3 linked regions of the Danio rerio genome follow. The protein of the gene in region 1 interacts with the protein of each later gene in a biochemical or structural test. Links are inferred from orthologs where the notes say so. Each region holds a gene or a part of one and is shown on either strand. Other genes may lie near its edges.

Region 1 (3,958 bases):
TATTTTAGAATTTAATTGCACTTAACATGCAAATTAGAAAAGAAACCATATAAAAAAGCATGGAAATGCACTGATGGGGCATTAATGATGACAGAAACACATCAGTTTCTCTTTTCTGGCTGTTTTTATAATTTGATTTAATTTAATTTGTTCAAAATAAAGTCTAAAGCATGTCAAATTAATTGACTTTTATGTGTTTTTCTACTATGGAAGTCAACAGATCTCTGCTTTCTTTAGTATATCTCCTCTAGTGTTTAACTGAAGAAAGAAACTCACAGATTTGGAAATAGTAAGTACATTTTTGGGTGAACTGTCCCTTTAAATGAGCTGCCGGCGTGCTATTGGCTGTCAGTATGGCCTCCAGACGGCCTCTACAGACATGCTGGTTGGCGAACTGCTGTGGCTTCCCTCCGCCTCCACCACTCCTTCGCTCTGATTGGGGAGCGAGGGGTGCAGGAGGGCGGAGCCTGTGGAGGCGTTGGTGCAGGGTAGGATTCGGGGCGGCGAGCGCTCCCCTGCTGCCGCCCCTCCGCTGGGCATCATGGAGAACTGGTAGGAGCCCGCAGCGCTGCTGTAGTACAGGTGATATGGGGACGAGCTCGCCTGGAAGGCTCCAGCCTGGGCCTGCGAGGAGCCCGCGGGGTACGCCGGCGGCAGGTATGTGTGGTAGCGTCCCGCAGGGCTGCTCATGGCTGACATGCCAATACCGATGGCGCTGGTGACGGGCGTGGGGGTGTAGGTGAAGGCGCCGGTGGGGTACGGCACCCGCGGGTCAGAGAAACGCCCATCTGGGAGAGATGGGAGTGATGGGAAGGAGCGCTCCAAACCCACACGGGGATCTGTGAACGCCGTCAGCTCTGGACCTGCGGAAACACAGCAGATGCTCTTAAAGGGACAGTACACCCCAAAATATAAGGTCTGCAGGTAAACTACCATGGAAACACATGTAATGAATATCCTCCAGCATGCGCTTCATCAGTCTGCATGATGAGGTTTCGTTTCTGACAGATGATGATCAGATATAAATGTGTGTGACGGACGCATTAATGGACCAAGCAGCGATTCCAGCTTTACATTGTAATAGATCTGAAATGTTGTTTTGCTTGTTTCTAAAAGACCTCAGCCTTCAGTCCATCATCACAGTGCTTCAGTATTATTATTACCTCCTACCTGAATGTCAAATTGTTTTAAGGTGCTTGAAAACCAATCTGTTAAAAATATTTGATTTATTAAAGTACTTTATCTCAATTACAGTAGATTTTTTTTTCTTTTTTAAATATTTCCTAAATGATGTTTAACAGAGCAAGGAAATGGTCACAGTATGTCTGATAATATTTTTTCTTCTGGAGAAACTCTCATTTGTTTTATTTTGGCTAGAATTAAAGCAGTTTTTAATTTTTTAATCACCATTTTAAGGACAATATTATTGGCCCCTTTAAGCTATATCTTTTTTCTTGATAGTCTACAGAACAAACCATCGTTATACAATAACTTGCCTAATTACCCTAACAAAGATAAATTTATTAACTTATTTATTAATTTATTAATTTTATTAAATTTAAACAGTTATTAGAGATTTAGAGATGAGTTATTAACACTATTGTGATTAGAAATGTGTTGAATAAATCTGCTCTCCATTAAACAGAAATTGGGGAAAAAAATAAACAGGGGGGCTAATAATTCTGTCTTTAACTATATATATATATATATATTATTTAATCACAAATACAGTAAAAGTTGTACAATTGTGAAATATTATTGCACTATAAAATAACTGCGCAACAGCAGTTTATCATTTAATTTAATCATTTACTTTAGTGATTTTAAAGATGAATTTTCAGAGTCTTCAGTCACATGATTCTTCAGAAATCGCACTTATTTTAATCATTATTATGATTATTATTATCGTTATTATTATTTTGGTAAAAAAGCAGTAATGACCTGAGTAATAATTTCATTTAAAACTAACTACAATAAGAAATATTTATTTTTGTTAAATAAATGCTGCCTTGATGAACAGAAAATAATAAATAAATAAATATTAAAAAACTGACCCCGAAATTCTGATTGGTAGTGTATATGTAAATATATGCAGATTTTTCCAGCACATTTCTAATCACAATAGTGTTAATAACTCATCTCTAATAACTGATTTATTTTCTCTTTGCCATAATGACAATAAATAATATTAAACTAGATATTCTTCAAGACACTTCTATACAGCTTAAAGTGACATTTAAAGGCTTCACTAGGTTAATTAGGTTAACTAGGCAGGTTAGGAAGTTATTGTATAATGATGGTTTGTTCTGTAGAATATCAAACAATAAATAGCTTAAAGGGGTTAATAATATTGACCTTAAAATGGTGCTTAAAAAACTAAAAACTGCTTTTATTCTAGCCGAAATAAAACAAATAAGACTTTCTCCAGAAGAACAAATATTATCAGATATATTGTGAATATTTCCTGAATCTGTATATATATATATATGACAAAACTATGATCTACTATAACTGAGATAAAGTTAACTAAACTAAACTAAACTAAACTAAACTAAACTGACAGGAACAATACACCCAAAAATCAGTTTGTGTTGGGAAAAACAGGAATTAGGTTACTTAAAAGTTGTCCGTCAAAAAAAAAACTCACCAATTGTATTGTTTCAGCTCATTTTAAACGGACAGTACACCCAAAAATGTGAGAGTCCTCTTCTATACATTGCTGTATATTTTTATATTAGTTTTATATCTTCTAAGTGTGAAGATATATTTTTTTTACAATTACTGTTTTTGAGCACATGATATATATATATATATATACAGTTGAAGTCAGAATTATTCGCCCCCTTCGATTTTTTTCCTTCTTTTTTAAATAATTTCCAAATGGTTTTCAACAGAGCAAGGACATTTTTACAGTATGTCTGATAATATTTTTTCTTCTGGAGAAAGTCTTATTTGTTTTAATTTGGCTAGAATAAAAGCAGTTTTGAATTTTTTATGAACCATTTTAGGGACAAAATTATTAGCCTCTTTAAGCTATATTTTTTCTTGATAGTCTACAAAACAAACCACTGTTATACAATAACTTGCCTAATTCCCCTAACCTGCCTAGTTAACTTAATTAACCTAGTTAAGCCTTTAAATGTCACTTTAAGCTGTATAGAAGCGTCTTAAAAATATCTAGTAAAATATTATTTACAGTCATCACGGCAAAGATAAAATAAATCAGTTATTAGAGATGAGTAATTAAAATTATTATGTTTAGAAACATGTTGGAAAAATCTGCTCTCCCTTAAACGGAAATTAGGGAAAGAATAAACAAGCGGTCTAATAATTTAAGGGGGCTAACAATTCTGACTTCAACTGTATATATATATATATATATATATATATATATATATATATATATATACATATATATATATATTAATATCTAACAATACTGATACTTACATCTGAAAACCTTTTTAAGAACATTTTAATTTAATGAGACCTTTCAAGGGACAGTACACCCAAAAATTAAAGATCCCTGTGAAGTGTTTTGAAATCTGTTTTTTTTTTAACTACAGCATTGTAATTGTTAATTTACAGCACGGTTGTAAATTTTAGAGTATCACTGGCAAAATATAGTAGTTCAGTCATTCATTTTCCTTCAGTTTAGTCCCTTTAATCATCAGGGGTTGCCACAGCGGAATGAACCACCAACTATTCCAACATATGTTTTACACAGCGGATGTCCTTCCAGCTGTAACCCAGTACTGGGAAATACCCATACACACTCATTCACACACACTCATTCACTATGGCCAATTTAGTTTATCCAATTGACAGAAATGCCAACTGGCCCAGCTGGGACTTGAACCAGCGACCTTCGTGCTGTGAGGCCACAGTGCTGACCCATGAGCCACCACGTCACCTCTGAAACTATATTGAAAAACAGGAATAAAGCAGTAAGTGTGAA
Region 2 (4,594 bases), on another chromosome or scaffold:
CATAGAGACCACAGGTGTCAGAAGTCATTTAAACACCCACCAAAACAAGTCTAATCTCCAGCTAACAGACAAAATGCTATCTTTTTTAAAACTTTGCATCCATCTATATGAGTATATATAAAGCCTATGTGTCATACTGCAGCACACTACACTGCTTTTCCCAGCAGCTTTGATGACCTGTTATCAAGGATAAAGCATAAATACCATACATTTAGAGCAAGTGAATTAATCAGTTTCAGCCAAGATTCACACAGGGCTTCTTTCACTCTGTGGATTTTACAGACTCTTCCTTGACAACACATTTACTTAATCCAAATGAGCAAAAAGCACATTTCCCTAACACTCTCTTAAAGTGCTGTGGCAGTACTAGACAGTAATAACTTCACATATCGTAGTATAACAGTCCAAGACAAGTAAAAATGTATATATTAATATAATTTAATGTTACATTCAAAAAATATTTTGTTTTGCTCGTTTAACTACTTATTTAAAATGAGCTGAAACAACATAATTCTTGAGAGTTCATTCGGACAACTTAATTTTTTTTATGTTCGATCCACATTAATTTGTTAAAAGTGTTAAATTAATTAATCGATTTGTGTTGGAACAACATGACTGAATTATGTGGAACCCGGCATTTTTTACAGTGTATGAAAGAGGTCTCTCTCTACTGCAAAGTTTAAATTATTTTTCTTTGTTTACATTATTAAAAAGTCATTTTTTTATGCAACACCTTGCAAAGCAATTCTGTTTAATAGATGCATAATAGATGTCTAATAGATCCATCTTGGCTAAATAGGCTGTCAGTGAACATCTAATAGACGTCTAAGAACAGCCCAAAACTAGACTAGTGCTCAAATACACCGATTAGACAGACTCCACACGTGTGCAGTCATTCATTCCTGTGGTTTTGATAACTAGTTTAGGGCCATTCTTAGAGGTCTATTAGATTTTCACTGACAAACCACGTTTGGCAATGTTTTATCTAGCCTTAGATGTCTATTAGACATCTATTAGATCTCATTTTAAACAAAAAGAAAATGCTTGCCATACGTAAAACATGGATATTCACTTTCACACAATTGTTTTGTAATTCATCACCTGAAGTGATGCTTTCATTTGCCTAAAATATTATAAAATATGTTGATTAAAGGGATCGTTCACCCAAAAATGAAAACTAAAATTATAAAACACTATTTGATTAATCTATATATTCGATTAGTCATCAAATATGCAGATTAAACAGATCATTAGTCATTCATTTCTGTTTATTTGATGACTAGTCGAATGTTGGCCGATTCTTAAATGTCTATTAGATTTTCACTGACAGGCCAAATTTAGCCTTGTTTTAGCTATCCACATTTCCTGCTGGGTTTCGTGTAATTTCAGGTGTTTCATTTTTAAGTTGTCGACTTTTACTGCAGTTTGGTACTTTCACTTTCATTCTGGAACATTTCATGCATGCGCCCCATGACAAATAAGAAATTGCATGCGAGTATGAACTGCTAGAAGAGTGTTGTTTTAATGTAATATGATGAGGGAAAATAAACCTCCGCATTTTGTGATGCAGGTGTCTGTGGTCCTTCATTGACTCGAGAGATGCAAAGAATAGTGTTTGTACAGCCATATAGACTATCCTGTCGCAAATTTCACTGAAAGTCCTACATGTTTATATATCTGTACTACATTTCAATAATGCGACTAAATGTCTTAATTTGATTTCTGTTTAGTAAGATTAAGACCTTAATCAAATTAAATTAATCATAAATCTCTGTTTACATGGTAGACAATGCTTTATCAGAGCATTATTGGTGTCCATATTAACACACTGAAGAATTTATTATATTCATTTAGCCTCACATTTACTGTTCCAAGATATTTTAAACGTTTCTTAAAGTAAAATATATTCTGTTTGATGGGAATAGTTTGTTAGACATTTAAAATAAAACTGTTTTATAGCATTAACATTAATCACAATACGGCGATATTTGTGTGCAAGGTTTTCATACCATCCGAATCTTATACAGGCCCATGTACAGCTACAAGTTTCATAGTACTTTTTTGCTGTTATTCATCAGTTTGATGTGTTGAGTACAGACTCACCAGTGTCCTGTCTGAACTGTTTGAGGTTGGGGATGTCGATGATGTAGGAGGACAGGCTGGGGTCTGCCTGAGCCAGACAGATGCTGCTCCCGGCGACCGCTGCCCCTCTCTGGTGCTGGAGGCACTGCTCGATGTAGCTGCTCACCTGTCCGGTGTAGGGCCTCCAGAAGCCCAGATCATCCTGCCATTCCCAAACCACCGCCATCGGCTGAGCTTGTCCGGGCACCCCAGACGAGGTGACAGACGAAGTCGACGGCGAAGCGAAAGACGGTCCGTTTCTAGTTCCACTCCCTCCGGAAGGGAAACTGGAGCCTGTTGCCATTGTGTCTGCTAAGAAATGACCCCAACCGATCCTAAAATAAGCCGGAGTTAAGCAGTGGGGCTGCCTGGCCCAGCTAACAACAACACCACCACCCTTTCAGTTTCACTCGTTTTCCACCCAGCTAACCCGCAGTATCCTATAAGAGATCGCTCGATGTCGTTAAAACTGTGTTTAATTCAGGAGTGAACATTTATTTATCCGCAGATTTGAAGGTAATCCCACTGATGTCGCATCTTCTTTGCTCGGCTGCTGGAGTCGCAGCTTCAGACTAGCCGCGTCTCGCTCTTCTCTTCGCCATTCAGTGCGATGCTGCTCGGCTACCGGGCTCATTAATCGGATTCATGTAAAATAACAGTTTCTGTTAGGTCGGCAGGCGGCTAATGCTGCATGGTCGTGATTTAAAACTCGCCGCTCGGCATGGTTTTTAAAAGTACGCAGTGGTTTGTGACACACTTCCTCTGCTGCGGTGTGTGTTTGTGTCGCTGCTGGTGGATTCCCATAGATACACACTGTGAAGGCAGACACAAACAGCACCCGTCTTGTTGTCGGTATGTTTACATTTTAAATTGTTCAAATATAAAAGCAATGTCGATTTTTTTAAATGACTACTGTCTATTCTTTGTTTATGCTTTGCTATGGTTAACTTCAAAATTTGAATGCTTATCTTTATATTGCGTACGTTGTCAACGGCAGATGGCTTTTATTTTAAAAGCGTAATACACTGACTAATAACAAAATAAAAGTCACGCTGCGTTTTTCTTTGTAGATGACGTTCATAAGTGATTTATTGTGTTACAACCACTGATCTATAATAGAGAAATAATGTTTCTATAAATACATTTTAAATATGGTATTTGTGGTTAAACACAAGAATCCCACTTAAATATCTGTAATACACGAGTTCTCAATTGTACCAAAATATTAGTCAGAATTAATTAATGTGTAATTAAATGTAATTAATGTGTAATAAAACTTTTGTCATGTAAGATCTGAATCCTGAAACTTTAATAGAATTTGTAATTGTGTCAATGGTAATTGTATTGGTTGTAATGGAAACTGCAAATGTTTCCTGTGAGTCTCTTGTTGCCTGTATGCTTTGTTTTTGTGGTATGTTAAAACTAATAAATCTTATTGTAATACGTTTTTTTGCATTACACTGGAAACCATAACAATTTTCATTACAATAGCCTGTGGTTTACAACGTGTTAATTGTAACCTACCACTGTAAATGAAAACTGTAAAGATGAAAATGTGTGATCCTGTCTTCAATCCAGTAGGTGGTGCTAATGCTATCCTGATGTGTCAGGAAAATAATCTCCATTCATCTAAACTCAATCTGAAGTTGTTTCTAAATAACTTTAAAATAATTCTCAGTATACGCGTAAAGCTTCAGTGCATAATTACACACACACGCACACGTTTATGAGGACATTACATGGTCGTAATGTATTATATACTGTAAAAAAAACGATTATTATACACCCTACCCCTAAACCCAACTTCAAATGAAACATGACAAACTTTGTAATGTCAAAAGACCCTGTTAAGTATGACTTTAACCGTTTTGATTTACAAGGACACGTGTAATGTCCTCATTAACCACCACAACATTGTAATGCCTAGGTCATACAAAATTTTGTCCTCATAAACCACCAAAAACCAGCGCACACACACACACACACACACACACTCACTTTAATAAAAATATACTTTTAGTTTAGTATAGCTCTTAGATGACTGTGGTGTACCTTTTTCATACGAAAACTTTATGCATCAGTTCTATTTTCCTGTTCCCCCTAAATAATATGCCATAGTTTTTGGTACAATCCCTGATTGTATTATACCTTTGGTCAAATCTGGCCCTAAAGGTTCTTTAGATTCTTTTATTTTTGACAACACAAATCTTTTTGTTGACAAAACTCTTCTCAGTTCTATGTCTAGCAAAGATATTCGCTTCGTTATTACTAGTTCTCGGATCTCTTTACCTGCTTGCATAGGTTTTTGGAATAATATATTTGATGATGTGGATTGGGAACAGTTTCTTCAGTTTAAAAACAGATTAAAATTTTTTTTTATCTAATAAAGCTGTTGAAGTCTAAATCAAAGTAATTCATAAGTGCTACTAAATAAACATCAAACTTGCTAAATTTAATAATAATATTTCCCCTA
Region 3 (4,289 bases), on another chromosome or scaffold:
TTGGATATGTGGCCGGCTGGAGGTGCGATATGCACATCAATATAGCAGCGTTTTTTAATGACACTCTATAACAATAATTAATATCTTTACAGTACTGTGATTGTTAGGTTTGGTTGGGGGTGGGTATTAAAAAATAAAATGTATTGGGTAATTTAATAGATAGCTTTCCCAGGAATGGGTTGCAGCTGGAAGGGCATTCGCTGCATAAAAACGTGCTGGATAAGTTGGCGGTTCATTCCGCTGTGGCGACCCCAAATTAATAAAGGGGCTAAGCCGACAAGAAAATGAATGAATTATTTTAACAGATAGCATAAGTAATACTCCATACATCGACTGTTTTTACATTACTGTGATAGTTGGGGTGGGGGAAGCCGTTAATAGAATACAATTAATAGGAAATTTAATAAATAATATAAATCTCGCTAACATCCGGCCGCAACCATATGTGATCTATAGATGATTAACCATGTGGATGGACGATAACAGCCTTCTCAGTCTACTTAGTTAACTTCCATCCTCAACCGTATTTGATCTAGCAACAAATGTGCAGTGTTGGTTGTCCTTCAGGAACATGGTTGGGAAACACTGCTGTAAACTGTATTTTCAAGCCACACAATAAGCTCGCATTCACACAAATCTTTTAGTTTATACATTTAATATTTATTGTGTCTAGTTTTTTTTGTTTGTTTTTTGCAAACAATTCGCAAGTTCACATTTCAGTACAAAAATAAAAACTCCATAAATTAAAAGAGAGACTACGTTTTCACAGAAAACTTCATACTTGGACGTCAGACCATTTAATGCAATGGTTAGGCAGCACACATTTGAGTAAACAACATTCACACGTTCAGAAATCAACCGTTAAACGGCCGAAAAAAAATAACATGATAGTTCTCTATTGCTCAGAACACACTAAATACAACAAATCTAGCACCGGTAAACTCAGAAAAATAACTATATTAGGTTAACTCAACACTAACCAGATCATTAATGCAAATAAAATCAGTTGATCCATGCTTATCTTGCTACATGTGGCAGGCATGTATGGTTCAGATAAATATAGGAAGCAATATCCATTGCTTTAGAGTCACTTCCATAGCCCTGCAATGCCATTCGAAATCAAGTCACAGATATAAATACTAATAGTCTTTAGTGGAATCTCAAAGAGTGAGGAGGGTTGGGGAATTCAAGGAGTCGGACGACTGATCGTTGCTGCTGCTGCCCCTGCGATGCACTGATGTCGGGAAGACGTCGTTTTCTGGGTAGGTGAACATGAAGGAAGACGTGTAGGTGGTGCAGGCTGGAGTGCAGGTGACGACGGGTGTGCAAAGCGGCTCCAGGTCAGTGTTAGCCGGCGTGTAGAGCGGCTCCCAGTCTTGAGTGTACAGAGAGTTGGACAGGTCCATGTCTGGAACCGAGCGAGCCGTTTCCAGCTCCGCTTTAGCCAGGAGCTCCAGAGACTCCTCTAGAGTGGGCTCCAGATCAGAGATCTTCACTGTGGTGGAGCTGAAGCTGTCGGTGGAGGCCGTGCTGGAGAACAGCAGGCTGCTGGAAGAGGTCGTGATTGATGTGTTTGGTGTGGAAGAGACCACTGAGGTAGTGACGATCTCTGGGACTGAGATGGAGCCCATGGGAGAGGAGGACGGCTCTGGGAAGCTGGCGTCGGCCGGGATCTTGCAGATGGGTTTGTGTGCGGCGAGGATGAACTCTAACCTCTCTTTTTCTTTGAGCAGGTTGGCGATGTCGTTCTGCAGGGCGGATTTTTCATCCTCAAGCTGGTCAGTTTCCTGTTGTGGAACATCAAAGGGTTAGTTTAATGATGTCATGGATGGAACGAGCTAGAATGGGATTTGGAGGGAAAATGCAGAATACTTACAGCTTGCAGTGTATCGGTGAGTTCACGTCGACGGTTGCGGCATTTCGCAGCAGCCATCTTGTTTCGTTCACGACGTACTCTTTTCTTCTCTTCTTCTTCTGGAGAAAGCTGCAGAAGCACAAAAATAAGGGTGTTTTAGCATTGGCAAATTAACATTCAAAATGTAGATTGTCAGTTGTTTGTCAGTTGATTTTAAAACAAAAGTTAATTGCAAATTATTTACCTGTTCAGATCTGCTTCTCTTGTTGGAGGTCTTTGCTCCAGTAACCCTCATTTTGGGGTAAGAGCTCGGGTTGTAGGATTGAGCTGCGCCGTTGGAGGGCGCCACAGAGGAGATCATGGGCTGGACCATCCACTGCAAGTCCGGGCATGAAGAGATCGCCGTGACAGTTGGCACGAAAGAGGCACTTGAGACACTCAGATCCGTGAACTCCTGAAATATAGAATATGAAATCGTTTATTATATGATAAACAATATATTTTGATTAGTCACAAAACTAATATATATACAATTTATTTGTTTATATTACTGTTTATGGGGTTTCATTCAGATTATAACATAATACAGAACATAATATACTTTAAAAACATAAATAAACTGACTTAAATCATGATTTATCTGAAATGATCATTCTAAATATATTGCTGTCATGTAAATACCTGAGTCTGGTTGAGCGGGTAATACCCGACGCTGTCGCCGCTCGGTGAAGCCGTGCTGCACCGGGAAGACGCGTCGCAGTCGGCGTTAAGGCTGGTAAACATCATCCTGTCAAAAGTCGAAAAGCACGAGCTATCCAGCGCTAATATATCCAGAAAGTTAAAAACGCTCCGGTCTTGTATTTCCTTGCTCGTCTGCTGCTCTTTTCTCTGTTTTGGTATCCAAAGTTTGACTGCCGCTCCACAGCGCTCGCGGGGTTTATATCCAGATCTGTGCCTGACGTCAAAGGGAGGGGCGTGGCCATGTGCGTTCAGTGTTTGCATAGAAACGTTAAAAACACGTCTTCGCGAGCGCATTTTACTGAATACATTATCGAAACATTAATAATGCAAGAATACACGCTTAATACGTAAGATTTTATCTTTAAAAACATTCGCATGTTGTTATTTCTGGGTGAAACGGAGTGAAAGAGACGATGTTCCGTAGCAGGGTATCCCAAGACGTCATTTAACTTATATGGAAAACATCCTGAAGAGGCGGAGTGCTTATGGGAAATACTCTGTGCAAGTGAGCAGCATTATGTAAAGATAGTTCGAGAAGATTTCAATGTTTTACAAGTAAATAAATAAATAAAAACAGCATTTAACAGAATATACTTATTATATCAGCTCTAAATGTATTTTTATTATAGTTTATGAACTTGATTTAATGACTTTATATTATTTTCTTGACACAATCATTTGATCAAAATTGAATATGTCTTTTTAAGTACATATCACGTCCATGCTGTGTTTACATGGCACCTGTTGTCCTAGATTTCATCATTTCTGTGCAGAAGTATTCAAAGTCTTTCATGCCCCGGGCTGTGTTCGTACCTTTGGGTGTATAAAGGGCGTGTCGACTCATAAACCACGTATTTCCAGTGTGAACTGCCTTCACACGGTTAACGAGGGATTCCTTTGTAACAAAATGCTGAGCTCATTTATTTCCTCAGCCTATTGCATCACAGTAAATAATAATAATGCAAGATTTGTAGTAGTCTAAATGTGTTAAATCTGCTATATTCAATACATTTTTCAATATATACGTTATAGTATATTTAATAAAATATATGAATCACTATATTATGTATTAAAATCATCTACATCAGTTCAATCATGTTTATTTAGGGACCATTTTTGTATTGCTCATCATTAATTGTCCGTATTTATACGTTTATCATGTATAAAAGTCTTCGTTTATTACTTGTCTGCCGTTGGCTACGGGCAAACATGAGGTTTGTTATTGATTAACAAGCGAAAACAGCTCTATCAGCGTTCCCATGTGACGTCACTGATCCACTTCTCTGCTCGTGTTTTGTTTGATCTTCCGCGTTGTCTAAGCGACGCCCCTCCCACTGTCGTCACTGCAACACGAGCCTGTGCAAATGAACTCTGAAGTTTCACCTTTCAGCAGCGAGAGTCTGCTTTGTGTATTGCCGGTAAATAAACACGCCGCTTTGATTGTGTATACTTTACGGGTAGCAAAAAACTAAATTGCAACGTTTTATAGTCGAAAATAGTTTTGGTATAAACACAATAAATGCTTTTGACTTCCACATCCGACACCTTTAACCCTTTTCTAGATGTTTAACATGAAATGTTTGTCTGTAAATGTGAAGAATTTACACTGCGCCAGTTCTCTAGTTCATTTAGCATTTGCTTGTTCTCAAGGTCACGAGTCTACAATGCTTAGACGTATTCTTAAATGCTGATG

The links. The genes of interacting proteins can lie anywhere in the genome.
Region 2: the proteins of runx1 (region 1) and dtx2 form a complex in vitro, tested with the Homo sapiens proteins (2 studies listed by BioGRID, with this or other methods). The link is inferred for Danio rerio from reciprocal best matches to the Homo sapiens genes RUNX1 and DTX2.
Region 3: the proteins of runx1 (region 1) and fosab form a complex in vitro, tested with the Homo sapiens proteins (2 studies listed by BioGRID). The link is inferred for Danio rerio from reciprocal best matches to the Homo sapiens genes RUNX1 and FOS.

Annotation. Positions count from the first base shown.
Region 1 is NC_133176.1:2,048,592-2,052,549, forward strand, and holds part of runx1 (runt-related transcription factor 1), read right to left. Parts: intron 864-3,958; coding exon 349-863; 3' UTR 1-348.
Region 2 is NC_133180.1:65,408,267-65,412,860, reverse strand, and holds the start of dtx2 (probable E3 ubiquitin-protein ligase DTX2), read right to left. Parts: upstream 2,939-4,594; 5' UTR 2,426-2,938; coding exon 2,104-2,425; intron 1-2,103. UniProt on the Homo sapiens protein: Regulator of Notch signaling, a signaling pathway involved in cell-cell communications that regulates a broad spectrum of cell-fate determinations.
Region 3 is NC_133195.1:49,905,978-49,910,266, forward strand, and holds fosab (v-fos FBJ murine osteosarcoma viral oncogene homolog Ab), read right to left. Parts: upstream 2,753-4,289; 5' UTR 2,642-2,752; coding exon 2,537-2,641; intron 2,310-2,536; coding exon 2,100-2,309; intron 1,985-2,099; coding exon 1,877-1,984; intron 1,788-1,876; coding exon 1,161-1,787; 3' UTR 639-1,160; downstream 1-638. UniProt on the Homo sapiens protein: Nuclear phosphoprotein which forms a tight but non-covalently linked complex with the JUN/AP-1 transcription factor. In the heterodimer, FOS and JUN/AP-1 basic regions each seems to interact with symmetrical DNA half sites.